Elephas maximus indicus: one gene and its partners. The protein of the gene in region 2 interacts with the protein of the main gene of each other region in a biochemical or structural test. Links are inferred from orthologs where the notes say so. Each region holds a gene or a part of one and is shown on either strand. Other genes may lie near its edges. The genes, in order: PPM1D, CHEK2, CDC25A and PPP2R5A.

Region 1 (6,869 bases), on a different chromosome or scaffold from region 2:
AACATGTTAGAAATTGGATTTGGTTTATTCAAATTTTGAGGATGGAGTTCAAGGTTTAGCTGTGGTACAAAGCAAACTTTAATCAGGACGTCATACCGGTTTGTTCCGGTTCGAAACCCTGCTGAGAATTTGCATTTCTAACAAGTTCCCAGGCAATGCTAATACTGCTGGTTAGGGACCTATTCTGAGAATCACTAGTAGAGCTGTGGGTCTCGAAATTTATTAGACACAAGAATCACCTGGGGATTTGTTAAAATGTAGATTCTGATTCAGCATTATCTGGGATGGAAATACAAGTTCTCAGCAGGGGTTCGAACCCAGAAGAAACCAATGTGAGGCCCTGCCTGACTTTAACATGTGGCTAGAGTCTAAGGCTCTAAGACCATGCATCATAGGGGTGAAAGCTTGATTTAAAAAGCATATGTATGTAAAAAACATACATACATTTATCATCATGGCCCCAACTTTATTAAAAAACACTCATTTTAGTAACAGGGTTTACATAACTTCTTTTAAAAAAATCAATTAAGGGAAGTGTTTGTATTTTTTCAATCCTCACAGTTCAAACTGGGCAAATTCATGTTGCTCCAAGTATACTGCAAAATAAAAACTCTAAATAATTCTTTGTGTCTAATCATCCTCTATATCTTGTAGCCTTGCTGCCTACTTCTAGTCGCCCTGCAGTCGATGTGATGTATTTCTAGAATATACTGCAGTGCTTTCAGCTCTAGCCTGCCTACACAAAAACAAAACAAATCCATAATAGGGGCCTCTGGGATTGGATGGGAAACACCTCAAGCAACAAGCCCACTGGATGGTTTTTGAGTCAATCAAATAATTCTTGGCAGAAAGCCAGGCAAATGGAAAACAGGATTTGAAAGCAGCTCATCTAGAACTCTATGATACCTTTTCACAGGTGTTTTTCTGTATTTAACAAATCTTTGACACTCTTTCTCTCTGCCTCTCTGCATGAAATAAATAAAACATTATGCTACCATAAACACGAGTTTTGTTTTCTGTTTTAATGTCAGAAGAGTATTCTTTTTCTATCAAAAAAAAAAAATGCATGCCATTTATTTACTGAAATGGATAAGCAACTACAGTCCTGTATGAAAACATACGTTGGATACAGGAACATTGGCTGCTTTAGAAAACACCTAAAATTTTAAATGAACTACAATCTCTTGGAGAACCTACACTAAGTTTTTAGAAATCGAAGTCCCTATTTCTTCTTGGGGCCCTGGTGGTGCAGCGGTTAAGAGCTGAGCAACTAACCAAAAGGTCGGCAGTTCGAATCCATCAGCCTGTCCTTGGAATTCCTACGGGGCAGATCTACTCTGTCCTATAGGGTGGCTATGAGTCGGAATCGACTGCAAAAGGTTTGGTTTGGGTTTTAGCATATTAGTAATTCCTTGCTACTTTGATGGGCGCTTATAACTAGTAAATTCTTTTTTTTATTAACTTTTATTGAGCTTCAAGTGAATGTTTACAAATCAAGTCAGACTGTCACATATAAGTTTATATACACCTTACTCCATACTCCCACTTGCCCTCCCCTTAATGAGTCAGCCCTTCCATTGTAAATTCTTTTTAACAAGGAACTGTAGAGAACTACCTGGTAGAAATTAGCTAAAGCAACTACCGAAAATAAAAATTGTACTTTTAAAAAGGCCTAGATAAATTTCACACGCCTCTCACAGGGAGCTAGTTTGAGATAACAAGTTCCGCACTTTTCTTTCTCATATGCAGTACAGGCATAAAAATCCTAAAAGCATTTTATAATCACCGCAACGGAGTATTTCCCCAAGACTTTCAATTGTTTGGTTACCTTTCAGCCCTTCTAAATTAGCTTACACTTTACCCCGACTATCAGCCGCCCTGGGTCACTTTGGAGAACTGACATCACCAGTAGGCGGCAACCGAGAGGGATAAGTCCTTCAAGAGCAAAATGACAGATTGTAAGGAAACACTAATTTTTGCCATCTCCTGCTTCCTTCGCGTAGCCCGGGTAGCAGCGTGTCTTCGATTTCTCTTTCGGACAAAAACTGGCGCTAGGTTTCTACACTTTTCGCTGGCTGCCATCAAAGTGAACCAGTTTAGGGAAAAGACGGCTTCCCATTCATCCTTGGAGAGTGGAAATAAAGCGAGGGCCGGTTGCAGGGAGACAGCAATCCTCTCTCTTCCAAGGCTAATTTGTTTGCCCAGATCTCCACCTTGAAAAGCGCCATTCGACCGAGAAGAGTCTTCACTTCTATAAATGCACACTTTGAAAGCGCTCTCGAGTGCCGAGTGCCAAGTGCCGGGTGCCCACGCGATGCTGGCTGCTGCTAAAAGCCCTGAACTGCCTGAAAAAGAGGCGGGCGCCCAACAAACCATGGAACTTACCCAGTTTCTTCCACATGGCGAGGTGACAGGCGAGGAAGCCTTTGCGGATGGCAGCGCAAACCTTCGCCGGCTCGGACGAGGTGAAACCCTTCTGTTTCTTGATGAAACTCCACAAATGCTCCCGGGCAAACTGTGCCGCCTCCCGCCCGCCGTGCCCGTCGCACACTGCGAAAAATGCAACGGAGGAACGGCGGCGGCAGCAGCGGCTGGGATCCGGCGAAGCGCCGGCGTCCGGGGGAGGACCGCGGGCTTCTCGGGCTGCCACTGCCGGGCCTTTCCCCGAGACTTCGCTGCCAGGGAGAGCCGGCGGCGGTGGTGACGGCTGCGGAGGCGACGGCTGAGACGGCGACCGCCGCGGCGAGGGCTTTTCTTCGGCCGTCGGCTCGGGCTCCACAACGATTTGAGTAACGTCCTCCATGTACTTCCTCCCGCCCTGGTCGGAGAAGACGCTCACTCCCAGCGAGTACAGCCCCGCCATGGCCGGCTGGCCGGGATCCTGCCGGTCCCACGCAGCCCGCGGAATCCGGCGGCGGGAGACACACTCGGCACTCGCCGGCCAACTATTGTTTATCTTCGACGACGCCGAGAAGGGGGAGGGGGCGGTCCCGGAGGCGGGGGGGGGGGGGCGCGCGATGTTGGGACTTGTCCGCGAGAGCTGGGCCGGAGCGCTAGGGCGAGAGGAGCCGAGCAACTGCGCCTGCGCAATGCGCTTCCTCCGCCGGCCCGCGCCCACCACACAAATCAGGCGTTCTCCCGGGCTGCCGTCACTCGGTGCTGTGGGCCGGGCCAATCGGAATCGAGCTGGAGCGAACCCGCCCTCCGCCCCCAACCTTCGCTCCTCCTTGCAACGGCTGCACTCCCTCCTCCCACCGCGGGCTCTGGGCCCGCGCGCAATCCCATTCACTCTACTCTAGTTGCGCGCGTTTCCCCGGTCGGGTTTTCCGCTGATGCTGAGCTGTTACGGGGCGACTTGGTCTGTCGCTTTTCAGCTCAGCCCCCCGCATCGTAACGCTGTTGACCGCGCTTCGCATTCCGCTGCTTGCCTTAAGAGGAAACTGGTGTAAGGTCGGGCTTCCTACGTGTAAAGCAGAATCTAAGGAGGAAAGACCTTCCATTCCTCAGCGAAATGGCGGGAAACCTACCTTCGGAAACTCGTTTGCAAACTGGCTGGAAAAAGTGTGGCAAGCACCCTTGAGCTGGATTTGGGTGGGATGTATTCGACTGGGAGTTGAAGAGGGAGGCAATCCAGTTTGTTGTTAAGAACACTTGGGGTTAAATTCCACCATCAGCTGCACAATCTCATTTCACATAACTAACTAGGTATGTCAGAGACTTAGGAGGGTTATAGTCTAACCATTAGTAACACCTTTTCAGCTTTGGTTAAACATAGTACTTTTTCCTACTAGCCCTGGTACATTTTACTCCTGTGGTATCAGATAACATAAAAATAGCGTACAAAAACTTCATACCATCCGAGTGCTACAAGCGCTCTGACGACTTGGTTATCCATCTCCCCTCTTCACTAAATAGGTCCCAATCAAAGCACTCAAACCTCTGCATGGATTTTCATAGATTAAAAATAAGCTTCAGAGTAGACAGGTTAGTATGTTCTCAACAGCAAACGTTCTCGAAGTGAATCTGTTTTAAATTCACTTTTTCAGTTCTTGGCCACTTCACCATCAAGATTTTCAAACGGAATGATACTGCAGTCATGCACAGAATAACGTCTGCTGGGCCATAAGGCCGGGTCCCATAAAGCTATAATAGAGTTCAGAAAGATGGGAGAAGGGACATAGCAGGTTTAGGCATGTGGCACTTGACAATCAGGATGATGCTCAAAAACAAAAAATTCTCCAAGCTGTTAAAGGCCCTGCTCCACTGAAAGCTACAAAGCTGAGAAAAACGCAAGAGGGACCAGTATCAGATATGGAGAAATTACTAATGACATGGATTACAGACCAAACACAAAAGCGAATCCCTCTGCAACCTGACAGTCATTGCTAAAGCACAAAGCTTGTTTGATATGCTTAAAGAAAAAGCAGGGCCAGACTCCAATCGAGTTTACTGCTAACTCAGTGGGTCAAGCACTTCAATGTTTTTCGCTGCATTACATGAGAGTGGTGAGTCTACAAGTGCTGATGTGAAGGCAGCAGCAGAATTTGTTGAAACCTTAGATAAAACTAATTGCAGAGGGAGGGTATTTGCCCCAGCAAAATTTCATATGGACAAAACCTTCTTATTCTGGAAGCAAATGTCTGAAAGGACCTTCATCCATAATATGGTGTTTTAAAAAGCAAAGATGTCACCTTGATGACCCAAGCCATGGTCGTCTTTTCAGTCACCTCAGATGCATGCAAAAGCTGGACAATGAAAAAAGAAGAGAGAAGAATTGATGCATTCGAATTGTAGTGTTGGCAAGGAATACTGAATATACTGTGGACCGCCAAAAGAATGAACAAATCAGGCTTAGAAGAAATACAACCAGAATGCTCTTTAGAAGTGAGGATGGTGAGACATCAGCTCACTTAGTATTTTTATGGTTAAATTTTTTTTTACATTCAGGGTCATCTGGAATTATTTTGGCATGAACTGAAAATCTAATCTGAATTTCTTTCAAATAGGTTTGTTTCCCAATACCTTTTATAAAATGATCCAATTTTTATCCATTGGTTAGTGACACTCTTTTATTAGATAGTAAGTTTTGAAAATCATTTGAACAAATAGATGCTGTAACTTTTCAGCAAATGAGAAAAAAGGGAATTTTTCATCAAGGTAAAGCAATAAATTCAAGAGAATCTCTTTAGGAAAAAAGGCTAAGTGTCTAAGTAGAGCTTTAAATGATTTTAAAAGTATTTTTTCCTTGTATCTATCTCAGGGTTAACTATCTTACCCACTGGTTTGTTCATTTGTAATATTTTGCTCTTAATTATTGAGTTCAAAACCTTCAAAGGTAGGAGTTAATTTCAGAAGCAAAAAAATAATCTAATTAATTTGCTATTGTTTCTTCCCATAGCTAGAAAATATCAGTAACATATACTAAGTAGTTTTCCCATTGTTCAGCTATTATAGCCAAGCTATGTATTTAGAACTTTGAGATAATGTGTCTCAAGAGATTAACTTCTGTGACTTGCCTTTACTCTGACCTTGTTGTTTTTGCAACTCGAGACTTAACAAAATAATCAATTTAATCTGACTACCACTGTCATGTTCATTGTGCATGAATATAAATTGGTGGGAGACACAAAATTAGAATCACTGCTGCCAGAGTCCCAAAGGTGTCAAACCTGTATGTGTTCTTAATTAGCCATGAAAATCCAATCTGTCATGTTTTCTGCAGATAACTAGTTTCTGAGGCATTAATGTGGAAAGAATATTCATACCTCTTCTCTTTAGATAGCACTACTAAGACACTTAGCTTAGCCTTTTTTCTAAAGAGACTGTCTTGAATTTATTGCTTTATCTTGACAAAAAATTCCCATTCTTCTCATTTGCTGAAAAGTAATAGCATCTATTTGTTTCAATGATTTTAAAAAGCATTTTTTTCCCTAAAGTAATTATTGTGTGGCTTACTTTTACTCAGCAGGACTGTTTACTACCCTTGCGGTTGGAGAAGGTTTTAAGCCCCAAACAATGTGCCCTTCAGAATTTGAGACAGACTCACAGGAGACCAACCTTAAGATACAAACAGTAAAATTTAAACATTGCATTTATTTTTGGGTGCTAAGAAGATTGTTTTGGTTTCGGAGCAGTGTGGGAGCAGATTATCTTGGGACACTCACTGTCTCCTCTGTGCTGAGTTGGAAGGCACCAACATTTCTCCCCCCACATTTTCTTCCTCTGTCCAGTCTGTTGGACTTGACTGAACTTAGAAGAGGCTCCAAATCTGATGTTTAAAGGTCAACTGTTAAATCACCTTTTAAAAGAGAAGTTTGTATTTTGAATGAATAGTGGGCAAATAGCAAAAACACTTATAATAACTTATAGTTTGCTTTTGATTTAATCCTTATTTTTTTTTCCTAGGATGTTTGCTTATCAGAAAAATTCTGAGGTGTTTCCCCTTAGAATATGCTTTAACAGAAAAATCTATTACATTTTCTAGCTGTTTAACTTAGCACCTACCTCAGAAGATATTGTAAAAAAAAAACTAGGTAAAAAAAACAAAAACCAAACCTCATTGCCATCAAGTTGATTCCAACTCATAGCAACCCTACAGGAAGGACAGAGGAGAACTGCCCCATAGGGTTTCCAAGGAGTGGCTGGTGGATTTGACCTGTCGACTTTTGTTTAGCATTTTGTTTAGCAGCCGTATCATTTACCTACTGCTCCATCAAGGCTATCCCCACCCACCGGCAAAAACAAAACAAAACAAAAAAACTAGGTAGTGCATGTAAAAGGTCTAGGACAGTGTCTACATACAACAAATACTCAACACACCTTACCTCTTACTGTTGTTATTAATGATTCCATTTAGCTCTAGATTAAAT
Region 2 (8,015 bases):
CAAGTTTGCATGAAACTGCAGTTTTCTGGGGAGAGTCCACAGCTCTGTTCAAGAACCTCAGCCCAACAGCACAGCACAAATGCCCAAAAAGTATCTGCTGTAAGAATAAATAAAGGGAATCCAAAAGGGGTTAAGAGCTAATGTACGACCCAACACTGCTTCCTCAGTTTCATCTTCCATCACCATCAAACTCCAGAATCACTCCAGGAGCGACTCGAGCCTTCTACTACAACTTACTGTAGTTGTCTTTCTGAATGAAACATTGCATCATATAACAAAGACGCTTACCGAGATTGGAGAATCCATCCTGAAGGGCCCATAATCGAGCCCAGGGGGCCGGGATGGGCTCCTCTGGTTCTTGGTCCTCGGGAATAGAGTAGAGTTCCTGAGTGGACACTGTGTCTACGGAACTCAGCGTCCCGGAGCTGGAGTGAGAGGACTGACTGGATGTGTGTACTGTGCCAGAGGAGGAGCCAGATGTGTTCTGGGACTGCGAAGAGCCGTGGGGCTGTGAGGAAAGGCCAGGGGACTGCAAGGAGCTGCTGTGCGACTGCCAGGAGGAGGAGAAGGCGGGCTGAGAGGAGGTGGCGGACTGAGAGGAGGTGGCGCCTTGAGACTGTGAGGAGGTGCCGTCTTGGGACTGCTGACAATCCATATCTGCCTCTCGAGACATCAGGACCTCAAAAAGCAAGTGTTCACCAATAAGATAAGTTTCAAGGAACAAAACTTAAAGTTCAAGAGTGAAAGGTGGGCAAATTACAATGGTTTTAAATTAAAAAAAAAAAAGACAGGATACACATGCTCTGCAAAAATTAAAATGCTACGTCTGCTGTGAGCACTATGCTCTTTTAAGATCTATCTACACGAGATCAAATTGTCAATAGCAACTTGAAAGGTTAGACAGGAAATTTAGGAGGCAATGAGTTTGTTAGTGTGGGAGGAACGAAAATGGCTGCACCACTCAAAGAATGTAATCAATGTAGATTTGTAAATGTAGAAGCTGTTGAATTGGTGTATGTCCTACTGTGTATATTCTCCACAACAAAAATAAGACAAATTATTTTAAAAAGTTAAAATGCTAACAATTTAGACCAATAGTTTTTGAGTTGGGGGGAATGGGGTCAAAGGCTCAAAAGCTTACATTCCCTCAATTTTTAAAAATTAGAAATGAAACCTAAACCCTATTCATTAATACAACTAACACTACACTTAAATTTCATATATATTTTGAGAGGGAAAGAAGGCGGGGAACTGTCAGGTGGACAAAGGTAGAAGCTGAGCAAAGAGAAACCATACAATGGCTAGGGTTGTCATTGACATAAAACACATCGGATGTCTCTCCTTCACCCTGACCCAGGCCTACTCCAGAAGGACAGAGACCATATCCAGTTTGTTCATTCCAGATCCCCTGGCACCTAACTTGGGTCAGGCCACTTAAAGAAACAGAGCACAAACCAGACTGCTCTAAACAACTCCACCTAGCTCTTCTGATGCTAAGTAACTATGGGTTCATCTTTTCAGCATCCCAAAAGGCCTTCCATTCTGGACAGAATTCTGAACCATTCTCTGAGTCACAGATACCATAACAGAGGCTCCCTTTCTTTAGAATTAACTTGATGGATAGTTATACTCAGACAACAGAACCTCCTGTAAAATCAAAGTAACTTGCAAGCCTGATCCAATTTGACTTTTTTTTTTTAATGGAAGTATTTCCTTTCCCCACATTCAGGTTAATCCTTCAGGAGAATGTTGTAAACAATGTTACTGCATTTACACAGCTTTCAAGATACAAAGGTCCTGAGGAGCTTTTCTTAAAACACAACAGGAAGGTGATGCCAGAGCTGAGTCTGCCACTCCAGAACCTGCTGGTCTAAAACTGCCTCAGCCAGGTTGGGTCCTTCTGTAGCTTTCTGAACAAGACTTCTTCGTCTGCATCTAGTCCCCGCCCTTGGTAAGTGGAGAAAGAAAGAGCGTGTCAAGAGGTGGCAGCCATCATTTGCTTAGGACAAGGGTCCACCCACTCAGACAAAAATAAAGAGCTGGGACCACCCCGGCCTCAGCAATAGTGAGAAGGTATGGTGGAGTTGCTAGAGGTGTAGAGCCTTGGAGTCAGAGGCCTGCCTCAAATCTTTGCATGACACTGGGCAGGTCCCAATCTCTCTGAGTCTCAGTTTACTCATATGAAAAAAGCAAATAAATAGTGAGGATTAAATGAAGTGATGCATGTAATGCTAGCCCTCTGCTCTCCCCACCTCCCCCTCCACCCCAGTAATGCATGATAACTGGGAGCTACTTATATCAGCAGGCCATGCGGAGTGGGGTGTGAAAGGCCACAATAACCACAGCAAAACCCATGACTGTGAACAGACTTCCAGTCCCGAAGAATCCTACAGCGAGAAAAAAGCCTCACATATGCAACACAATCTTTTTTCATATAAGAAACTGAGTCTCAAAGACGTCTCGTGCTGGCTGCCCATTCCCTGCCACCCCATCCCTCACACTTAAGGCCACTCGCAAGGCATCCGCTACACACACACACATAGGGCAGTGGGTTTCTTGTTCCTGCAGCGCATAGCAGCTAAAGTGGGTTCGCCAAAAATACTTACGATATTGAATTTAAATCATGGCAGTGATCATTAACATTCATAGAACTCCTTACAAAGCAACTTCGCTGTGATTTTTAAGAGCATAAACTTTTTAACTTCCCACCTTCTAGGTCTAGGCCAGTAGCAGCTTGTAAGTCACGAGGGAATGTAAACTTCACCTCCAAGTTTATCTACAAAGAAGGAAGAGTCGCCCACGTACTCGCCTCCCCCCCCCCCCGGGAGCTCAAATTCGGCAAAGCGGAAGCTCCAGAGATTCTGCTCGCATAAGACCCTGAGGACGGGATTCGAACCCCTAAAACACCCAAAAAAGTTTCCCCACTAAGACTCACCCTGCGAGCCCACCTGGAGTCGCGCACACTCGCCGCAGCCGACTCGCGCACACTCGCCGCAGCCGCAGCCGCAGCCAGCGGAGTGGCGCTAAAGATGTAATACAAACTCCTTCCTCAGCCAATCAAAAACACCCTCCGCCGCCCTGGGCCAATGAGGAGAAGCGGATGGGACCTTGGAAGTGTAGCCTCATTGCCTGCTGGGAGTTGTAGTTTAGATCTCAAAGCGGGACACAGAATCCAGGTTCCCCCCCTCCCCAAGGTGATCCCGCCCCCTCAGTTCCCACAGCCAATCAGCAGCACTAGTTAGGTCGCTCGCTAACTCCCCTTTCCCCCACAGGTGACCCAGGCGAGATAGGCCGTGGGCCAGATGTGGGGCGGGAGAGCTGGGGCCTTGCTCCGGGTGTGGGGGTTGAGGCCAGCATGGAGCCCCAGGAGGAGACCACTAAGCTGCAATGCTGCTTCGCAGGCCCGAAGCAACTCCCCGCGATGTTGGAAGTGCGGCGGCAGCCCAGGGGGCCCCACAGGGGAGGACATACTCTTCTGCCCGCAGTGCCGCGCGTTGCAGCCACCCGACCCCACTCGAGATTACTTCAGCCTCATGGATTGGTACGGGCGGCGGTTTTGGGAAAGGGGTCGAGACCATCGAGACGTGACGAACTGGTCAGCTAGAATGGTGGGCCGACCAGGCTTGGAGAAGAGGGGCCCTGAAAGATGGTTGGGGGCGGAGCCTGGGAGAATGGAGGTTGGGAAGTGGCCTGAGGGAGAGAAAATTAAGGGGCGGGGTCTGAGGGAAGGGCCGGAGAGATGAGGGATGGAGACTTGAGGGGGGGACTTGAGGTGCGAAGCCTGAGAGGAGAAATTGAGGGCTGGACCTAGGACAAGGGAGACCTGGGGAGCAGAGTAAGAAAGGTTAAAGTTGGGTTGAAACTCTTAAAGAAAGGAATACTAATGTATAGTCCAAGTTAAGGGAGTAAAAACCAAAAAAACACTTGCCATGGAGTGGATCTTGAATCATAGTGATCTTACAGAGTAGAACTGACCCATAAGGCAGTTCTGCAAATCTTTCTCCCACAGAGAGGCCGGTGGGCTTGAACCACCAACCTTTGGGTTAGCAGCCAAGCTTTTAGCCAGTGCACCAATAGGGATCTTTAAGGGAGTAAAAGCACAGAAAAACTAGTATTGTGGGCAGGATTTAAAGGAAAAGTGGGAATTGAAGGTGGAGGGTCCCAGAAATGGGTGTTTTTTCCCATTTTCCTCTGAAATTGAGCTTGGAGAGGTGATGAAATGTGGGTGGAGATGGACTGGTTAGGTGATAAGGCAGACTCTAGGAACTGATAGCTAAAATGAGTTGGATTAAAGGAAAGTGGGAGATCTAGGAGAGAGAAAGTTTGGGTGAAGTTCAGCATTGCCCCTTCCCTCAACTCCAGGATCTGCCCCCACAGGTCACTGAGCACTTATTATGGGCTGCAATGACACTACCCTTTAATTTCTTCAGTGTGCCAATTTTGTTCCCACTCCAGGGCCTTTGCACTTGTGGTTCCTTTTGACTGGATGGCTCTTTCCTTTGATATTTGAATACTCCTCCACAAATTCAGGTCTCCCCTCAAATGTCATCTCTTCATCCACTCCATTCACCACTCTCTTTGACCCAGTTCTGTTTTCATTCATAGCACCAACCACTATTTGAAACCATCCCCCATGAGAGCAGGAACCAGGCTTATAGAAGACAAATCTTTAATTATTTGTTCCATGAATTTCATCTACTGGTTTTCTTCCAGCAACCGTTCCTTCAGAGTTGACACCATGAAGCTCCAGCATAGGTACCAGCAACTACAGCGTCTCGTTCATCCAGATTTCTTCAGCCAGAGGTCTCAGGTAGTCTATTGGCTACCCCCAATCATCCCAAACACACATGTACACACTAGATGGGTGGCAGTGGCCTTGTGGTTATGTAATTATCACGGAACAAGCCGGACAACCAGCTCTACCCTATGGCAGCCTGACCTCAGCCAGCCAGGCCTTGGAGCTGTCATGCACTCACAGCTTTTATCTAACTTCCCAGCAGACTAAAACCAATCAGTTGAAAATTAAGACAGCTCATCCGACACCAGTTCTATTTTGGCTACTTCCTGAGGTCTCCACCCATCAGCCTTTTTTTTTTTTAATTATGGTAAAAATATACATAATAAAACATATGCCACTTCAACAGTTTTTACATGTATAATTCAGTAACACTGATTATATTCTTTATGTTTTACAACCATTATCACTATCCTTTTCCAAATTATTCCACTACAATTAACATAAACGCAGTGCCCTCTAAGCAGTAACTCCCTTTTCTCCCCTTCCCTCCCACCTCTAGTAACCACTATATTTGCCTCTTTCATATAAGTCAGATCATACGGTATTTGCCCTTTTATGACTGACTTGCTTCACTCAGCATAATGTTTTCAAGGTTCATCCATGCTGTGACATGCATCAGGACTTTCATTTCTTTTTATGGCCCAGTAACCCATCAGCCTTTTTAAAACAGTTTGTGAATGTAAGATGGTTAATTTGGATGATAATAAGACTGCCTTCATCTCCCACTAACAGACTGAAAAGGACTTCTCAGTGAAGCATTCGACCCTGGTGAATGATGCCTATAAGACCCTTCTGGCACCCCTAAGCAGGGGACTATACCTTGTAAGGTGATTTCCCAACTCTTTTATGCGTGACTGCCTGGTGCTTATTGTGTTGTGGGACACCTGCTCCCCTCTAATCAGAGAAAAGCGCTTGAGACCTGAGCTGATCCAGAGACCCAATATTTAGCCTCAAAGATACTACACGAGTATCATTTTCTCTGAGTATTCTCTGCAAATGTTACTTGCCCCAGTTGCTTTTTTTTCTTTTCTTTTTTTTTGACACCATTTTCTATAAATTTCAAAGATTTGATGATGACTTTTAATGAAGGGTAATTTTTGGTTTCTTTTGGGAGAAGTCTTAAACTCCAGAAAATTTTAGAACTTAATAGAATCTTTACAAACATTTAGTTCAACCTCTGAGTAGAAGAGTAACTCCCCAGGGTCACACAGGTCCAAGGAGCACAGAGAGGGATCCTGTCCCAGCACTCTGTCTCGGCCCAGGCTTTTGGCACCTACTCTTAACGCTTTCGTTATTAGGACAGCTCGAGTTTTCCCCATGAGCGATATTATGTTCTAAGGTGTGAATAGGAATTACAGGACTCTGGCCATAGTTTCCTAAACAGAACTTATTTTGTCTGCTTTATACCTCAATAGCTAAAACTCCGTGGAATAGAGATTCCCGAAGGGACAGATGAAATGGACAAGCAATTCCTCGTGGAAATAATGGAAATCAATGAAAAACTCGCAGAAGCTCAACATGAAGGTGCTGTCAATGAGATTGAATCCGTTGTCGCAGGTAAAAGATGAAACGGTGCCAAGGCACTTTGTTATGGATATATACCTAGGGTTAAGTGAAAGACGAGTATAGAGAGAAAATTACTGGTTATCATGATGATTCAGGGAATTTTTTTTCTTGACCATACAGAAACCAATGTTGTCTGGAGGTTAAACTTGCAACGTCCCTCTGGAAAAAAAATACCAAACCCTCTGCCATCAAGTCAATTCTGACTCATAGTGGCCCTATAAAAGGCAGCCTTAAATCAAGAATGTAATACTATCGGCTGCTAAGCAAAAGGTTGGTGGTTCAAACTCACCCAACCGCTCCACAGGAGAAAGACCTGGAAATCTGCTCCCATAAAGACTACAGCCTAGAAAACTCTATGGAGCAGTTCTACTCTGTCATATGGGATCACTATGAGTAGAAATCGACTCTGTGGCACCCAACAACAACAGTATTTTGCAGATTGGAATGTTCCTTCCCACCCGTGATGTCATTTAGATACTGTGATTATCTCTGACAGGGAAAATGTGTCTTAGAATTTCATGGAATTTCCCAAGGTCACACAGCAGATATGTAGCAAAGCAAAGATTGAGACCCTGTTCTTCAGACCCCATATAGCTTCGTTTTCTACTTTATTCTGTAGAAAAGACTCCAGGGTTCTCACTCAGACTGGATGCACTTACAAACTTTCCCAAATGTTTACGTAGTGCCTACTATGTATCAAGCACTGTGCTTGACACTGAGGATATAGCAGTGAACAAGAAAGACATGGCCTGTGCCTTCTATATATTTCAATTTAACACGTCCAAAATGGAATTCATGAGTGGCCTCCCTTTCCTCAATGGGAAAAAAAAAAAAGAGCAACCTGTTGCTCTTCCAGGGTTCTTCTCTAAGCACATGGCACCATCCAGTTTTATAAGTCTAAACACTGGGGAGCCATCCTTAACAATTTTATTCTCCCTTACCATCCATCTCCAAGTCTTACAGAGATGACTTTTTTAATGCATCTCAAATCTATCTACCCATCTATTTTCACTGCCGCTACCCTGTTCCAAGCTATCATTCTCTCTTACTTGCACACCTACAGTAGCCCCTGGCTGGTCTGTCTATATCTTCTAGCTCCATGTATAATATTCCTACACTGTCACTTGTGTGATCTTTTTGAAACTCAAATCTAATCATATAACCCCTCGCTTTGCTTATAAACTTGGGGTAGTTTCCTACTGCTCTCAGGTTAAAGACCAAACTCCTTAGCATGGTTAAAAGGCCCTGCATGGTCTGGCCTCTGCTTTCTTCCTCTTTGCCCCCTCCACTCCAGCCAGACCAGCCACTTCCAATCCCTCATCTATACCAGGCATCTTCCTACCCCAGGGCCTTTGCACGTGCTATTGCTTCTGTCTGAAACCTTCTCCTTCAGCCCATCGAGTTAACTCCTCCTCTTTCAGATCTGGGGGATATTTTCCTCAGAGAAACCATTCTTGACCTCTCCATTAACACCTTTTGGCAATGTGTACCCCACCATTGTAGGAATAATCACAGTTAAAACTTTACTGTTCTGTGTGAGATTATTAGATCAATATCAGCTTTACCCATTACACTGGAAGTTCTGCAGAGGCAGAAATTGTGTCTGCTTTTTGCTTCCCTCGCATCCTAAGCACATAACACAGAACTGAGA
Region 3 (7,997 bases), on a different chromosome or scaffold from region 2:
ATAGAATTAACAAAACCTTTTTCTAAGCACAAACATTTAAAAGCAGTGAATACATACTTTTCTTTACTGTCCAAGGGCCCAGGAGAATCCAGACAGAAGCCTGTGGGAAATTGAAAAAAAAAAAAAAAAAAGTGTTTCTAGCCGCCATTAATCACTGTAGTTCAGCTGGTCTATAAAGCAGCCTTCATTCCTTCAACCAGAATTTCCATTTGCCTGTCGATTTTCATTTAAAATATTTTCAGTTCTTTGTGCTTTGCAAGTGTCTAAAAATCTCTCAGAAAATCATAAACAAAATACATTTTGTCATTAAAAATAAATAAAATTAGAACTTTACGTATAAGTCAGCCAATAAAGACTCATAGCTTAGACCTTTGCCAGAACTGAAGTCAAACCTCTACTTGATTTCTGTGGTTTGCTGATTGTCAAAAACATCTTATTTGCGCAAGTCTGAATATTTTTGTAGTATAATCTATCAATTCCCTCTCCTACTTGCAAATACTACCAAAACAAAACAAAACAAAAAAACCCAAACTATGGAGATCCCATGTACGTCAAAGTAGAACTATGCTCCATAGGGTTTTCAATGGCTGATTTTTTGGAAGTAGGTCACCAGGCCTTTCTTCCAAGGTGCCTCTCACTAGACTCTAACTTCCAACCTCTCGGTTAGTGCATTAGCCGTTTGCATTACCTAGGAATCCCAATTACCATCAGTTGAAACAGATTTTGAGGAAAAGGTTAAACTGATTCACGGCATGATTGCCTGGTTGTTCAGAGGTAACTCAGGTAACTTTCCAACTGTCAGTTCCAACCACAGAAAGAACAGGTATCAGGGTTTTCTGGGATAGTTTCAATTTCAAATATTTTATCTTGGCAAATCACGTGGGAAAATTTGGGATTTTGAAAATTCAATTACTAGTCGTGTGACATGTAAGGCCAATATTTGCTGCCTTCAACAAAATGGCACCAAAGTAAGGTACCCATCTCATGAAAGGCCTCCCACACTGCCACAAATAAAAATCCTATATCTAGCTCTCAAGAAGCTGCCTGTATTTTAAGACTTTTGTTCTTGCAGTTCTTTCACCTAATGTATCTGTGCCCAAATGCTCTTATCTGTGCAAAGATAAACCCTGTAGTAACATAAATTTATGATTTAGAATAATACAGTGGCGGTTTTCCTCCACAAGCTTACTCAAATACTTTCATTATACTTCCAATAACTTGACCCCAAATTTTAACCGATGACGTCCTGAATTACACTTATAACGGTATGGTGAATTTTACTTTACTACTCATCCTTCGGAAACCCTGGTGGTGTAGTGGTTAAGCGCTATAGCTGCTAACCAAGAGGTTGGCAGTTCAAATCCACCAGGTGCTCCTTGGAAACTCCATGGGGCAGTTCTACTCTGTCCTGCAGGGTCGCTATGAGTCGGAATCGACTTGACGGCAGTGGGCAGTGGGTTACTCATCCTTCAAGGCCCAGCACACACCACTTCCTTGCAGACACTTGAACTTGTTTTGTCTCTCCATAAACTGCTACAAGGGGTTTCTTCCTGCTGTTCCTAAGGGTGTTTGTCACCCGATGCCTTGCATTCTCCATATCCTGTCTCAACCACTCACCAATAAGTCCCCAAGTGAAGAGGAATATTTCAGTAAATTCCCAGTGTTGTCCCCTACACAGCAGACACACAATGCGTAACTGAAGACAGAAAATACCTGAATCAGTTGACTCGGAGGAGCCCATCCTCTGCAGACTGCTGTTCTTCACCTCCAGTGCCTGCTCATACTCACTACAACCAAGAGAAATTTCCAGGACTCAATTAAAAGGTTACATGCAGGAGACAGGCCACAAGCTTAACAAGTGGCCGGGCTGGGCTGCCATGAACCATCATTACTTCTAGGCCACACCAGGCTCCACTTTCCCACCCTGAACACCCAGTTTGCACTTGAGGATAAAAGCAGAGGAGAAAAGAGAAAGTGGGCACACTCCTGGGCCACATTGTAGGGTATGATTATGACCAGTATTGAAATATTTCCTGAAATGGGAACATGTGTTCTAGGCACTGGGCTAGAAGAGACGATTAAAGATGACCAGGGCAGTGTTTCTGCCTTTCAGAGGTTTAGAAAGGAAGAAGACATTTGCTTAGTTAGAAAAAGGGATGCCCAAGGCTGGGAGAAAAGCTGCCTCATTAGAAACACTGTACGATGCATTTTTTACTCTAAGAAAAAGTCCCGGAGCTTTCCGGTATGGAAAGTTGGGTAAAAAAGCCTGGCTTTGGGAAAGGAACCGAGTGGGCAACAGGAATGCGCACGAGGCCAGGAGAGATTGCGATAATTTTGTACAAACACCAGGAAAGAAAATGCCACGTCCCTTTGTTGGGTAGGAACAAAGCTCACAGGAAATTAAGATCCTGTGAGGTTCAGCTAAGGGCTAAGGAGGCCCTGCTTTCTCCCCGTGGGGACAGGTTCCAGAGGGCTCCCTGGGATAGGGAAGAGGCAGAAGGAGGGTACAGGGTAACCCCAAAGGGGTGGTGAAGGTGGGGAGCAGGGGCCATCCCCACCCCACACCGGGTCCGGCCCTGGAGGGTCCGAATGGCCTCTCCCGCCCAACATTCCTCACGAGAAAAGGGTGCACATGGCGGGCCCTGGGGCCGGCGCTGCCGCCCCCGAGCGGCAGACCCAGGCGGGCAGGTCCGCCTCTCCCCGAGCCGGTTTCCCGGCCCAGTCTCCCCGGGGACCGCCAGGACCGACAGCCTGGAGCCCCACCGCTGACCTCCTCCTCACCTGCCCAGTCCCTGCAGCTGGTCCATGGTGACCGTCAGGTTGGTGACAGGCGACAGCCCCCCGGCGGCTGGCGCGCCGAACAGCGCCTTTACGACGGCCGGTGGCGCGGGAGGGGGGCTGCAGGCGAAGAGCAGGCGCCGGCGGTGCGGGGGCTCCGGGCCCAGTTCCATGGCGGCACCCGGCCTCCCCAGGGCTCCCGCTCCTTCTTTCTCCGCCTCCGCCGCGCCCGCCCCGCCCCGCCCCGCCGCGCCCCGCCGCGCCCCGCCGCGCCGACACCGGCCTCGGCCGCGCGCCCAGCTGCCGGTGTCAGCGGGTCAAACACAAACACGACCCCGCGGTTTAGGGACGCGGCCGCCGCGGGCAAGCGGCGCGGACGGGCGGGTGTCTGGGCCGGGCAGGCGCCAGCCACACGCACGGGGGCCCGACCCGCCCCCCGCGAGGCCGGCGGGCGGGCGGGAGCCGGCAACCTGAAGATTAAATCCAAACACTGAGGATCAGAAAAGGAGGGCGGGAGAGGGCCGCGAGGCAACGGCCCGGGCTCACACACTCTTCGTTCTTCTCTCACCCTTGCCCAATCCGGGGACGCAGAACACTAAGCAAACCCACACCTCCCTCCCGGGCTGTTGGGGCTGAGATGGCCTTTCGTGGCTCACTAAAGGGCCGCCGGTGCCCCGCCCCCTTTTCCTAGTTGGCGCCAAATGGAATCCGCCAATCCGTAAGCTACCTCCCCGCCCCCGAATGGCAGCCAGGCTGGACCAATGAGAGGAGAAGAAGGGAGCCGCTCGCGGGACTCTGCGAGGTCACCAGCTCTTGAGGGGGCGGGGCCCAGAGGTGACGGGGGCGGGTGGAAACGAGAGGGACTCAGAGGTCAATGAAAACTCCCAGCAGGCCCTGCGAGGCCCGGCAGAGACCAAAGGACCCCTCTTGACCCGTTGTATGCTGGGAAGCGTAGTTCCCACTCCGCGTGTACTTCGGGGGACCTCCTACCCGCGTTGAGCCACGCCCGCGTGTCCCGCGCCCCACAGCGTGAGAGAATGTGGAGATGAGAGGACTCGTCCGAGTCAGCAGGGCCCAGCCTTTTCTCTAGCCGTGCAGCACTATGGGCTGCTCTTCTGTTCGGCCCCAGACGAAGTTACAGAAGTTGAAGGACGCCCAGCCAGCCTGCGGGCCCGCCCGCATCCTCCCCGGCTCCTGACCCCAAGGGAGCTCTAACCAGCCCGGCCAGCGGCCCGTCACGGACACCGCGGGCTGCCCTGCCCACCAGCCGCTGGCCAAAGGGGGCTTGAGTTCCTCAATGCCTCATGCGCGAATCGAGATGCACCTTCGGTGTAAAAATCCACCTCGGATTCCGAGGCGTAGTACGAAAAATAAAATGTAAAATAGTTCAATAAATTTAAAATATTGATCACAGGGAGAAATGATAACATTTTTGTTGGGCTAAAAGCACAGCGTTACAATTACTTCCACCTCTCTTCACTGTGGCTATTTGAACATTTAAAATCTATGCGGTTCGCAGGTATATTTCTATTACACACACAGTGCTCCTGTAGATTCTGGCCCCTACCTCTCCCTGTGCCTGCTGCCCTTGCCCGGGTGTAGGCCTCATCATCTTCCTACTGTACGACTGCAGCAGCCTTTTAGCTGGTCTCTCAGCTGCCAGAGTCGCTCCCTCTTCCAAGCCATGTTTTCTACTGCATCGATCTCATCCTTTCCCTCTCCCAGGACATCTTCTTGGGATTCTCTTCAGCCTATTCTGAGCACTCAGTCCTTCTCGGGGGCTCCCCTCTGCCATTCCTGCTGCTCCTTATCTTTCCCGTACCATGCATACACTCTAATCTTCCTGAACTATAGTTAATAGAGGGACTTCAGAGCAGGCCACATTCTCTCTCTCCGGTACTAGGAACTCTCTTTACTGCCAAGATGGTGCAGGCATTAACTCCATCTGGAAGGTTACCAGTCACTCTAGGATGTGGCCTCAGAGTTTTGTGCTCAACTGCATTTTAAAAACCCAAACCCATTGCTGTTGATTCCGGCTCACAGCGACTCTATAGGACAGAGTAAAACTGCCCCATAGGCTTTCCGAGAAGCAGCTGGTGGATTCAAACTGCTGACCTTTTGGTTAGCAGCCTTAATGGTTAAGCGCTGTGCCACCAGGGTTCCACTTCCATTTTAGACCTTACTATTTTATATACTGAAGGGAACCCTGGTGGCATAGTGGATAAGTGCTATGGCTGCTAACCAGAAAGGATGGTAGTTCAAATCCACCAGGCGCTCCTTGGAAACCCTATGGGGCAGTTCTGCTACTCTGTCCTACAGGGTCTCTGTGAGTCAGAATCAACTTAAGGACTACGGGATATTCTGCTGTAAATCTGAATCCATTTGATGGCAATGGGTTTATATACTGTCTAGGAACACTAGTGGTGCAGTTGGTCAGGGCTCTGCGTGGGGAAAGATGTGGCAGTCTGCTTCTGTAAAGATTTACAGCCTTGGAAACCCTATGGTGCAGTTCTGTTCTGTACTATAGAATCATTATGAGTAGGAATCTTTTTTTTTTTTTCATATATACTGTCTTAGAATATTTCCTTTTCACCCTTTCTTACTCCATTGGGAGCTGCTGGATAGCAACGGTAGTAAAAATAATAATAGCTAACACGTAAACAGTGCTTATTATGTGCCAGCCACTGTTCCGTTTGCTTTACCTGCATCCATTTAATCCTTTCAACAGCTCTATGAGATGGGAATTATTATCCTAATTGAATAGGTGACTGTATTTCTTTTTAAACCCTTGCAACCACTGGTGGCTCCTAGAATGGTTTCATAAGACGGGCATAGATACAACCACCAGGCTTTAAGAGGACTTGTCTTTCAACAGCATTTTTAGAGTAAACATACTCTACTTATTAGAATGCATGTTTGTTTCAGGCAACTTTAACTGCGTGGTGGACATTATGACCACTTCCCTGCTCAGGGCCTACCACTGTATGAAAATGGTTCTTTAAAAAACTGCTTTCAAATGTTTGTATTAGGCAAACAATGCAACATAATTACAAAATTAGAAAAAAAAAACCCGTATTCCTACCACTTTTAAAGGAACAACTGTCAACACTTTGAACTTTTTTGTGTGTGTTCACTATTTTTTCAAGATCAAATCGAGGAATGAAAGGTCCTTCTTGACTGGGCAGACATTTCCTGAATGGGACTGGCACAAGTGGGATAACATTCCAAAGGATTTATCCCAGAAAGTCCAAGTATTGGAATAAAAGCTTGGATTCAGTAATGTCACAAAGCCACCATCTTTTTCCTTTTTAAAGGTTGACTAAAGTTGAGTGTGATTTGTATGATGTTTGGGGGCTATCTTCATTTATGAAAGGAAAAGCGTAATTGAACTGCCCCTTTGCCCCATTAATTTAGGCATGCTTTCTGAAGTCCCGCAGGGTGGTGTTAGAAGGAAAGAGCTCTGCACTGTCAATCTGGAGGACTGATTCTGCTTTGGGGCAAGTCAATTGTTATTCATTTGACTTCTACTGAGGGCCTACCAACTTTCTAGGCCCGAATAGACAAGTCATTGTTTCCTTGGAGGTTGCCAGGAGTGCCATCTCTACCCCCATTCCCCCTTCACCTAGCTAACACCCACCCTTCTTTCCCTTGCCAGGGAAGTTCTAGCCTTGGACTCTGACTGATACCCACCCTGGATATCATCCACCCCTGAAGAGCACTTATCATATGTTTACATTTGCTTCTACAAACTCAAGTTAAAGAGAACCTCCCAGAACACGTTGAGTTAATGAATACATGTTACAAAGAAAAAGTATGAGTGCTCTGAGAGCATTTAAGGGAATCTAATCTGGCCTTGTAGATCAAGGAATTCCTGAGGAAGTGACCAGAAGGATAAGTCCTTATTTGGTGGAGGAAGAGTGTTCTGATCAGAGGAACAAGTCCTGTGCAAAGACCCTAAGGCTGGAAGGATCCAAGAAGAGAGAGGAGATTGGGGAGGTGGGCAGCGACCAGGCTTTACCAGGGTTTGTGAGCCACATTCTGGAATTTGGACTTCATCCCAAAAGTAAGGGGAAGTGACTGAAGGGCTTACACATACATTTTAAAAAGATAGCCCTGGCTACATTGTAGAGGATAGATTAGAGAGGGGCTAGGGTACAGCTGGGGAGGCCAGTTTGGAGGGAATAACAACAGGCCTAGTATGAGATGGTCGTGGCTTGAACTGGACAGGGATGATGTGGAGGGGAAAGTAGGCCTCAGATTCTCCCTGTGGACAGTGAGGGTGATGGCCCACAATTGTGTCTTTCAGGCAGTGAAGGGCCCCATTGGGGGTCTAGGCTCCTCCTGTTGCCAAGCTGCTACCACAGTAGCTTGGCTTTTAAATCTACATTATATATTGCTGTACCTTGTATATTTTGTTTGAAGGAGTTTCTATTGCTAAAAACAAAACCAAAAAAAAAAAAAAGAAACACCCCAAAACATTACATGTGTGGTTTGGAAATTTTTTAGACTTTTTTCCCAATCAATCTATAAGATTTATTTTCTATAGAAATGGAAACATTCCTTTCCAGTACAATGTTTTACACAGGCCCATTCTCCTCTCAGAGTCCCCGGGTGGTGCAAACAGTTAACTTGCTTGGCTGCTAACAGAAAAGTTGGCGGTTCAGTTCCACCCAGAGGTGCCTCTGAAGAAAGGCCTGGTAGTCTACTTCCAAAAAAATCACCCATTGAAAACCCTACGGAGTACAGTTCTACCTTGACACAGATGGGATCGCCATGAGGTGGAGTTGACTCAAGGGCAAATGGTATGTCTCTCTCAATCTGTCTGCTGTGGAGACAGCCTGGGCCTCCCTGGAGGCTACAGGGCTTCAGCTGAGCACTGAGAAGGAAGGTCAGAACTAGGCTTTCTAAGATGGAATGAGCGGTGCAGGAGGCTGACAACCATTGTCCTTGATATTGTAGAGACAAGGAGGAGCACCTGGAACTGGGGCTTTCCAGGTTCTGAGTCTCCATCCGAATCCTCTGGGGAGCTTTAACTTTCATTTAGCTATTTAATGAGTAGGTAATCCATTCATTTGGTAGGAATTTAAATGATACTAAAAAGGCCTAGGGTAAAAAATTCTCTCTGCCACACTTGTCCCAAGCTACCCTGTATTCCTCTTCAGAGGTCACCACTGAGGCCAATTTTTTGTGTCTCCTTGGAAGAGTTTGTGTTATATGCT
Region 4 (7,696 bases), on a different chromosome or scaffold from region 2:
GTTCTACTCTGTCCTATAGGGCCACTATGAGTCGAAATCGACTAGACAACAATGGGCTTTGGGTTTTTTTAATAACAAAACAGATAATTTATTCTGAACATTTTCACCATGAAAATCCTGCAATCCACTTAGGGAATGATTTTGCAGAAATGAACTTGTTACAGAGGAAAGATTGGATTATTTTGTTAATCCTTACCCATAGTACAGAATGCTTTAAGGAAAACTAGCTGGCACCCTTCCACTTTAGACTCACATGGACAAAGTGTAACATAAGCAGGTTGAAATAAACACTTGAAAGATCTCGGATACACACAGATATCTGAATCACTCCAGAGTAAGACTGTATTTCAGCGCAGAAAGAAAAATTCTCTTTCCGTACACCTACTAGTGAGCTTTTTCCACTGGTTTCTGTTAAGACCACAAATGGAAAAAAAGGGCTACTGACAAGAAACACAATGCTGTGGTGCCAAGTACACTGCCAAACTACCAAGAGAAGCGAAAAAAAATTTTAAATCACTTTTCAAACATTTTTTGAATCTGAGATAAAAGTAGTTTTTCCTGTTAGTGCGTAATGTGAGTAAGGGTCTTCTTTAATATATATTTATTTAGAATGCAGAACTTTTCTTATGGAGAATACTATATTTTCACGTAAAACATCTAAAATTAAAGTTTCAATTTACTTTTCTTCTCTTTGTAATAGTGATCAAATACTATAAATAAAAAACTCAATAGCACCTTCAGCTTGTTGAGCCGTATGTCACATAAATTAGGTGATTACTAATCCTGCATGTTTTTGTCAGATTTCCAAAAGTAAAATGTATTAAACCTGCATTCTCCTGGCCTGAAATCAACCACGTTTAATATTAAAATAACTTACTAAATAAAGTGGATAAAATATTAACAAGCACAACACTAAAACCAAAACCAAACCAAACCTGTCACCATGGAGTTGATTCTGACTCATTGCGACTCCAATGGACAGCAGAACTGCCCCACAGAGTTTCCAAGGATCACCAGGTAGATTCAAACTGCTCACCGTTTGGCTAGCAACTCTAGGACTTAAACCGTTGCCGTCCTGTTGATTTTGACTCATAGCGACCCTATAGGACAGGGTAGAACTGCCCCACAGAGTTTCCAAAGAGCGCCTGGTGGATTAGAACTGCTGACCTTTTGGTTAGCAGCCATAGCTCTTAACCACTATACCACCAGGGTTTCACAGCACTTACAAGAACCACAACATCTTACTAAAAAACGCTATTAAATATAAAAGAAAAATGCTAGCACTAAGTCTTCAAACTGCAAAAATAGACAATTTAATGATAAAATTAATAAAAATAACTATGATATTTCAATTAAGTTAAAAATTTAAAATCCATGAATAACAAAACAAAAAACCCCAAACCCATCACTGTTGAGTTCATTCTAACTCACAGTAACCCTGTAGGAACAGAGTAGAACTATCCCACTGAGTTTCCAAGGAGCAGCTGGTAGATTCAAACTGTCCACCTTTCAGTTGGTAGCTAAGAGTTTTAGCCACCGTGCCACCAGGGCTCCTTTATAGCTCTGACACCACTCAAGAATTAAACTCTTGACAACTTGGCCTACCACTGACTACCAAGTGTTAAGTTTTAACCACTTTTGTGTTCTAAAGAGCAATCAAATGACGAATTTGATGGCAGCTCTTACGCATATCTAAAGTAAAACCTCAAAAGCCAGTTTGATTTGTCTGTAGAATGTCTTTGATTTAGAAGCACCCCAAGGGTCTCTGAAGGGTTCCAACTATGATTCGATCTGGGGTTTTCTTTAGACTCCTTGCCAAACTATGGCTGGATACACATGCCCAAAGACAATCAAACTGGCCTTGAAGGGGATGCTGCAGCTTTTTCAATGGACAGAAAATTATGCTGAATATTATGTTTTCGTATGGGCCTTTCATTTCCCCGCCTTGGAAAAAGAAACGTTTACCTGTCCAAGGCATTACCATCTATCTGTTCCATCGGCGATGCCTATCTCTTAAGAAGAGGTGTTAAAATTATAAAATGAAGAAAGCAATTCACAAAGAATAAACGAGAACACCAGGAGGCAACATATTTAAAATCCTCTGACCCTGGGGCAAGAGCGAGCGAGTGGGGTGGCAAGTTGTCCCGCAGGCAGCAGCCAGGACGGGGGTCTGACCTCCGGCCCAGCTTACAAGGCCCGGGGCCACGGCGGGCAGGTGAAGGTGTGCACCTTCCACACTCCCCCACTCCCCGGACATGTCTTCTCGGACGGGAAGGGGGTTGCACCCCTTCTATTATACTTTGGGCTGGAGATCACTTTTACACCTACTAACCCAGTAAATAAAACCTACAATGCTCAGATTTCAGGCTTTCTCTTCATAACTGAATCTAAAGGTGGCTAGCTCTCCCCGGGTGTGCATTAGGGGCACCCAGCGGGCGGGAAGATAGGAGAGGTGGGTGCAGGCGGCTGTGCAGCTGAGCGACTAGCTAAGAGCGGCGGTCGGCGCTGGTGACTGCGAGCCTGGGCGACGGAGGGGCAGGTGCGACCCCAAACGCAGGTGAGGCAGCGCGCAGGAGGAGTGTTTGCTGGGGGGCCTGCCTGCCTCCCCCAACCCGGGAAACGGGGGGCCAGGGAAACAGCAGGAGAGGCAGCACAGCCCGACACAGCCGTCGGAAACAGGGCCGCAGACCCCAGCCCCCGTAGCCCCCCGCGGCCGCCCGGCCCCCCACAGCCCCCCGCAGCCCGCGCGGCGCTCACCTCGGAGCTGGGGCAGGGGGTGCAGCTCCGCCTGGCCGCCCTGGCTGCGGAACTGCGACGAGCCCTGCGAGCGCTTCTGCCGCTGCGCCTTGCGCACCGATTTCCTGGTGAAGCCGTCCACCTTCTCCGCGGCCGAGATGGCGGCGCCGGCAGCCCCCGCCGCCGACGCCATCGCCGCGGCCCTGGTGCGGGGCAGGCCGGCTGCTGCGTGCCCGGATCCGGCGGCGGCGGGCGTGCAGAGCCCGAGCCCGCGCCCTCGCCGTCCGCGCCGCCCTCCGCTCCCGGGGCCGCCGAGCTCCTCCGCGCCGCCGCCGCCGCCTCAGCCGCCTCACGGCCGCATCGCGGTCCCGGGGACTCCGGGCCGGCGGCGGGGAACGAGTTGTGGACTCCGGGCGCGGGGCCCGGGCGGGAAGGGGCCCCAAGTTCGGAGAGCTGAGGCGGGGCCGGGGGTGCGGACGCCGGGCGCTCGCCTCGTCCGCTCAGCCCGGGTCGCACTTCAGTGGCCGCTGCCCGCGCCGCCCGTCCAGCCCGGAGCCGCCTCCCGGGGCGCTGCCATCGCGGGTTCCCTCGGAGCGGCCGCCGCCGTGCCCGCTCTTCCTGTCAGCGCCGGCCCCGCATCTCCCGAAGCGCTGACCCGCCGCCGGCCCTCGGCGCGCACTCGTTCCCCGAGCGCCGAGCGGCCGCCCCTCCCTCAGGCGCCCGTGTGCCGCCCACGGAGGAGCCCGGCGACGGCCGCCCCTCCCTCAGGGGCCCGTGTGCCGCCCACGGAGGAGCCCGGCGAGCGACCGCCCCTCCCCCAGGCGCCCGTGTGCCGCCCACGGAGGAGCCCGGCGAGCGACCGCCCCTCCCCCAGGCGCCCGTGTGCCGCCCACGGAGGAGCCCGGCGACGGCCGCCCCTCCCCCAGGGGCCCGTGTGCCGCCCACGGAGGAGCCCGGCGACGGCCGCCCCTCCCCCAGGGGCCCGTGTGCCGCCCACGGAGGAGCCCGGCGAGCGACCCTCCCCCCTCAGGCGCCCGTGTGCCGCCCACGGAGGAGCCCGGCGACGGCCGCCCCTCCCCCAGGCGCCCGTGTGCCGCCCACGGAGGAGCCCGGCGAGCGACCGCCCCTCCCCCAGGCGCCCGTGTGCCGCCCACGGAGGAGCCCGGCGAACGACCGCTACAACTTGAGCGGCGGTTGCTACAGGGAAGGGCGCGTGTGTCCGTGTGCGCGCGCAGGGGCGCGCGGCTTGGGGGAGGGGCTCCGAGGGAGGGGGCGGGGAGGGGTTTGATTGGCAACTTTCGCGGTGTCCCGCCAGCCTCTCAGATGCCGCGTGAAGGTCGGCTCCCGCGGGGAGGAGAGACAGGGGGCGGGAAAGCATGCCAGCTCCCTGAGCCAATCGCAGAGCTCAGCGGCAGGAAGGGGGTGAGGCGTGGCCTCCTGGACGGCTTGTTTAGCGTCGAGCTGACAGGATAGGCATAGGAAGGGGCGTGGTTGTGTGACGGACTTTAGCAACAGCCAATCGTAAGTGAAGGCGGGGAGCGGGATGCCAAGTGCGTCACAGCAAAGTAACGAATCCTCGGGGGACTGGGGAAAGTGCCCCCCGGAGTGAGCACGTTTGCACGCCTGCGCAGCAGCTGCGGGCTAGTCCTGCTGCCTTGACGGCCCGTAAACACCCGAGGGGTGGTGCGGCGGCCTTTACAGAGGTAAATAGAGTGCTGGTCCCGCCCCCGCCGCTCGGCGGGCCAATGAGGAGCGGAAGCGACTGGGCGCCTGCGGCTCAGGGCGCGAAGCAGGAGGAAGGCCGGGTGTGGCGTCACTGAAGCCGGAGGGCGGGCGGCGGACTTTGTGGTCGGCGGCGGCGGAGCCCGCGGGGACCCGGTCCGGCGGCTCGGACCTCGGCGGCCCGGCGCCGTGCGGTGGCAGCGTCCGGGTGAATTCGTAGCCGGGCGGTAGTTGAGGGGCCGCCGGGCGGCCTGGCTGCTCCTGCTGCCGGGGAGCCCCTGGTTCCCAGCTTGGCGCCCCGGGTCTTCCCCAGCGGAGCGGGGAGACTCGCCATCAGTGCTCCGCGCGCTGTGGGACTTGGACGCACTCTGGTTAGGATTCCTCCCTCGGAGGCTGCTTCTGGATTCATAAGTTTAAGGACAGGCATTGGCCGTCTTAGGTTTTTTGTGCAGTACGTCCTATATAATGGGCTTAGTAAAAAAAAAAATACCGGGAAGCCGGGGTGGAAAGGGGACTCTGCTGTCCCATTGTGGGGATTGCAGCTAGTGTCACAAAACAATGTGTGTAATTGTTTGTATGAGAAGTTAACTGGAGCTGTAAACTTTCACCTAAAAAAATAAAGGGACAGATACGAGAATTGAACTAGGAAGAGTTAGGGAAACAAAGGGAAAATCATTACAAACAGCGGGACAAGGATGTGTAAAGAAGGGCTGTAAACTGGTTCCTTCCGGCTGGGGTCCCTGCTGAGAATTTGCATTTCCAACAAGTCCCCGGGTCACGCCAGTGGTGCTGGCTTAAGGACCAATCCTGAGAATCGCTGGAGGAGCGGTGGTTCTCTGTTACACCAAAGACTCACTTGGGGATGTTGTTGAAATGTAGATTCTGACTCAGTACATCTGGAGTGGAAATGCAAATTCTCAGCAGGGGTTTGAACTGGAACCAACTGGTTCAAAGCCTTGGGATAAAGGTGCAGAGCCAGGAGAGACCAAACAGCCCACTGCTGTGAGAGTCGGTCCCCACTGGGTACCCAGGCTGTAAATCTTCGTGGAAGCAGACTGCCATATCTCTCTCACAAGAGCTGTTGCCGTTAATTTAGCTTTCCTGACCCCCAAACCTCTCATCTTTGCTTTAGGGTAAATGTTGACCATTTGGTCTCATATAGATGGTTTTTTTTTTCCTCCCCCGCCATGGAGCACAGTACTCACAGGTGATATTATTTTATGAGCCACTCTGTAATTTAGCTGAAAGATGCACTCCAGGAGTGTTTCAGTTCAAAGTGTAAGCAGTATCACAGGACAATAGGCTCGGGGGTTCCTCTAGCCTCTAGTGGTCCAGTAAGTCTGGCCTTTTTTAAGAATTTGAGTTTTGTTCTACAATTTTCTCCCATTCTATCCCAGACCATCTATTGTATCCCTGGTCAGAATGGTCAGTAGTGGTAGCTGGGCACCATCTAGGCTTTCTGTCTCAGGGTAGATGAGGCCATAATTTGTGTAGGCAGCTGGGCCTGTAGACTAGTTTCTTATTTGAATCTTTGGTTTCCTTCTTTTTGCTCTGGACAAGTAGAGACCAATAGTTGTATCTTAGATGGCTGCTCGCAAACATTTAAGACCCCAGGTGGTACTTACCAAACTAGAATGTAGAACATAAACTTCATGGACCGTTATGCCAGTTGACCAAGTTGTCTCACGAGAGTATGGTCCTAAGACTTCAACCCCATTAAGGTGTTTGATTATGTCTGGGAAGCATCTGTGACTATGGCCTCTCTGCTTTGTTACATATATGAATACATGTGTAGTACAAGCATGTATATACATATGACTACAGATACACCTATATAAGCGTACATATATACATACCTACACCTTTAATGGAAGATGTTTTGTTGAAAGTAGTGTTTTAAAAAGACTGGGCAGGGGAAGTGAGAGCCAAGGAGGTTGGTTGAGGTGATTGCAGGTGCCCAGGTGATAAGCACCTGAGTGAGTGGTGCTAAGCAATCTGTGTCAGCATCAACTTTGGAGCCTTTTCAGAACCTTCCTATACGTTCCTACCTCTCCAAGGGAAAGAAGCATCTTGGGGTGAGACAAATGCATTTTGAAAAAAATCCCAAATGATACCCCAACTCCTCGCCCCCACTCTGTATCCCCGTTCTTTGATGGCAAATGGTTTAAGCTAAAAATGGCCTTGAAAATTTTAAGAATTTACAAAAAAAAGCAAGAAAATACTTGATTAAAGGTAGGTGGAAAGTCAAAGAGAAGAATTACAAGTAATGCCAAAGTTTTGAATCGGGTGACCAAATGAGTTGGGGGCCTTGAACAAAAAGTCCAGAAGCTGAGCCATTTTGGTGGAGTGGGGGAGGGGTGTCAGAGAAAGGAATAGGGAAATAAAGATGAATCTGAGGTTGAATTAACAGAAACTGAGTTTTTAAGGTCATTGAAGCTGGGTAGCTAGGTCTTTATTTTTAAAAAGAGGTGATGATAGGTTGTATATTAATTTGGGGAAAGAAGATGACTAGACTGGCCTGACAGCCTGGAGCGGGCCGGAGCAAAGAAGGAAATTAAACAAACTTCTTTTTCCTCTCTAAGGAAAAAAAAATTTATAATGGAAACACATGGGCACAAGAGATGTTGCCTGCCATGTGTCTCTGTATTGTCCAGTGTCAAGGGCTAGTCGGGCTGCACAGAAGACAGCAGGAAAGCCCCCATGTCTGCTGTGGCACCGGGCCAAGGATCAGAAACAAAATTGCCCTCGCTGTTCACAAATGGCTGAGTGACCCTTTGAACACCATATGCACACACACACACTCATTCACCCTGTGTTCTTAATTCCTAACAACCTTCCAAACTCAACTGTGACAAAACCTCTCCTGCGGTGCCTTTATAAAGGAGGCAAGACTCTGTCTCCCAACCAAACCTCTCCCCCCAGTATCAGGCACGGCTGACGTAAAGTGTCCAGCTTCCCTAGCTTGTGACTGGCCAAGGCCTCTTCCTGTCCTCAGGAGCTAGATCCTGGTCTCTCACATTGAATTGCAGTGGTCGTATTTCCTATCTTACTCCAGGTGGGCTAGGACTGGAGAATGGCACAATCTTGCGTCAGATGCCGTTCTGGTCCTTGCACATATTGGGCTTTGTATTTCAGCATAAATTACTGGAGTATTGTCCTTAGGAGAGAAAGTACTACGTTATTTCAGTAACGTAATAGAGCACATTTTGGTTCTCTGTGCCAGGAAATAATGGTGATG

Evidence for each region.
Region 1: of the proteins of CHEK2 (region 2) and PPM1D, one has a biochemical effect on the other in vitro, tested with the Homo sapiens proteins (2 studies listed by BioGRID, with this or other methods). The link is inferred for Elephas maximus indicus from reciprocal best matches to the Homo sapiens genes CHEK2 and PPM1D.
Region 3: of the proteins of CHEK2 (region 2) and CDC25A, one has a biochemical effect on the other in vitro, tested with the Homo sapiens proteins (5 studies listed by BioGRID, with this or other methods). The link is inferred for Elephas maximus indicus from reciprocal best matches to the Homo sapiens genes CHEK2 and CDC25A.
Region 4: the proteins of CHEK2 (region 2) and PPP2R5A form a complex in vitro, tested with the Homo sapiens proteins (2 studies listed by BioGRID and IntAct, with this or other methods). The link is inferred for Elephas maximus indicus from reciprocal best matches to the Homo sapiens genes CHEK2 and PPP2R5A.

What each region holds. Positions count from the first base shown.
Region 1 is NC_064837.1:32,687,078-32,693,946, reverse strand, and holds the start of PPM1D (protein phosphatase 1D), read right to left. Parts: upstream 3,015-6,869; 5' UTR 2,864-3,014; coding exon 2,386-2,863; intron 1-2,385. UniProt on the Homo sapiens protein: Involved in the negative regulation of p53 expression. Required for the relief of p53-dependent checkpoint mediated cell cycle arrest.
Region 2 is NC_064840.1:27,874,153-27,882,167, reverse strand, and holds the start of CHEK2 (serine/threonine-protein kinase Chk2), read right to left. Parts: upstream 3,002-8,015; 5' UTR 2,936-3,001; intron 680-2,935; 5' UTR 674-679; coding exon 289-673; intron 1-288. Other genes in the region: iron-sulfur cluster co-chaperone protein HscB, read left to right, coding at 3,303-3,541, 4,714-4,810, 5,531-5,620, 6,214-6,355. UniProt on the Homo sapiens protein: Serine/threonine-protein kinase which is required for checkpoint-mediated cell cycle arrest, activation of DNA repair and apoptosis in response to the presence of DNA double-strand breaks.
Region 3 is NC_064838.1:52,522,469-52,530,465, forward strand, and holds the start of CDC25A (M-phase inducer phosphatase 1), read right to left. Parts: upstream 3,006-7,997; 5' UTR 2,952-3,005; coding exon 2,782-2,951; intron 1,788-2,781; coding exon 1,714-1,787; intron 101-1,713; coding exon 58-100; intron 1-57. UniProt on the Homo sapiens protein: Tyrosine protein phosphatase which functions as a dosage-dependent inducer of mitotic progression. Directly dephosphorylates CDK1 and stimulates its kinase activity. Also dephosphorylates CDK2 in complex with cyclin-E, in vitro.
Region 4 is NC_064842.1:861,362-869,057, reverse strand, and holds the start of PPP2R5A (serine/threonine-protein phosphatase 2A 56 kDa regulatory subunit alpha isoform), read right to left. Parts: upstream 3,012-7,696; 5' UTR 2,930-3,011; coding exon 2,758-2,929; intron 1-2,757. UniProt on the Homo sapiens protein: The B regulatory subunit might modulate substrate selectivity and catalytic activity, and might also direct the localization of the catalytic enzyme to a particular subcellular compartment.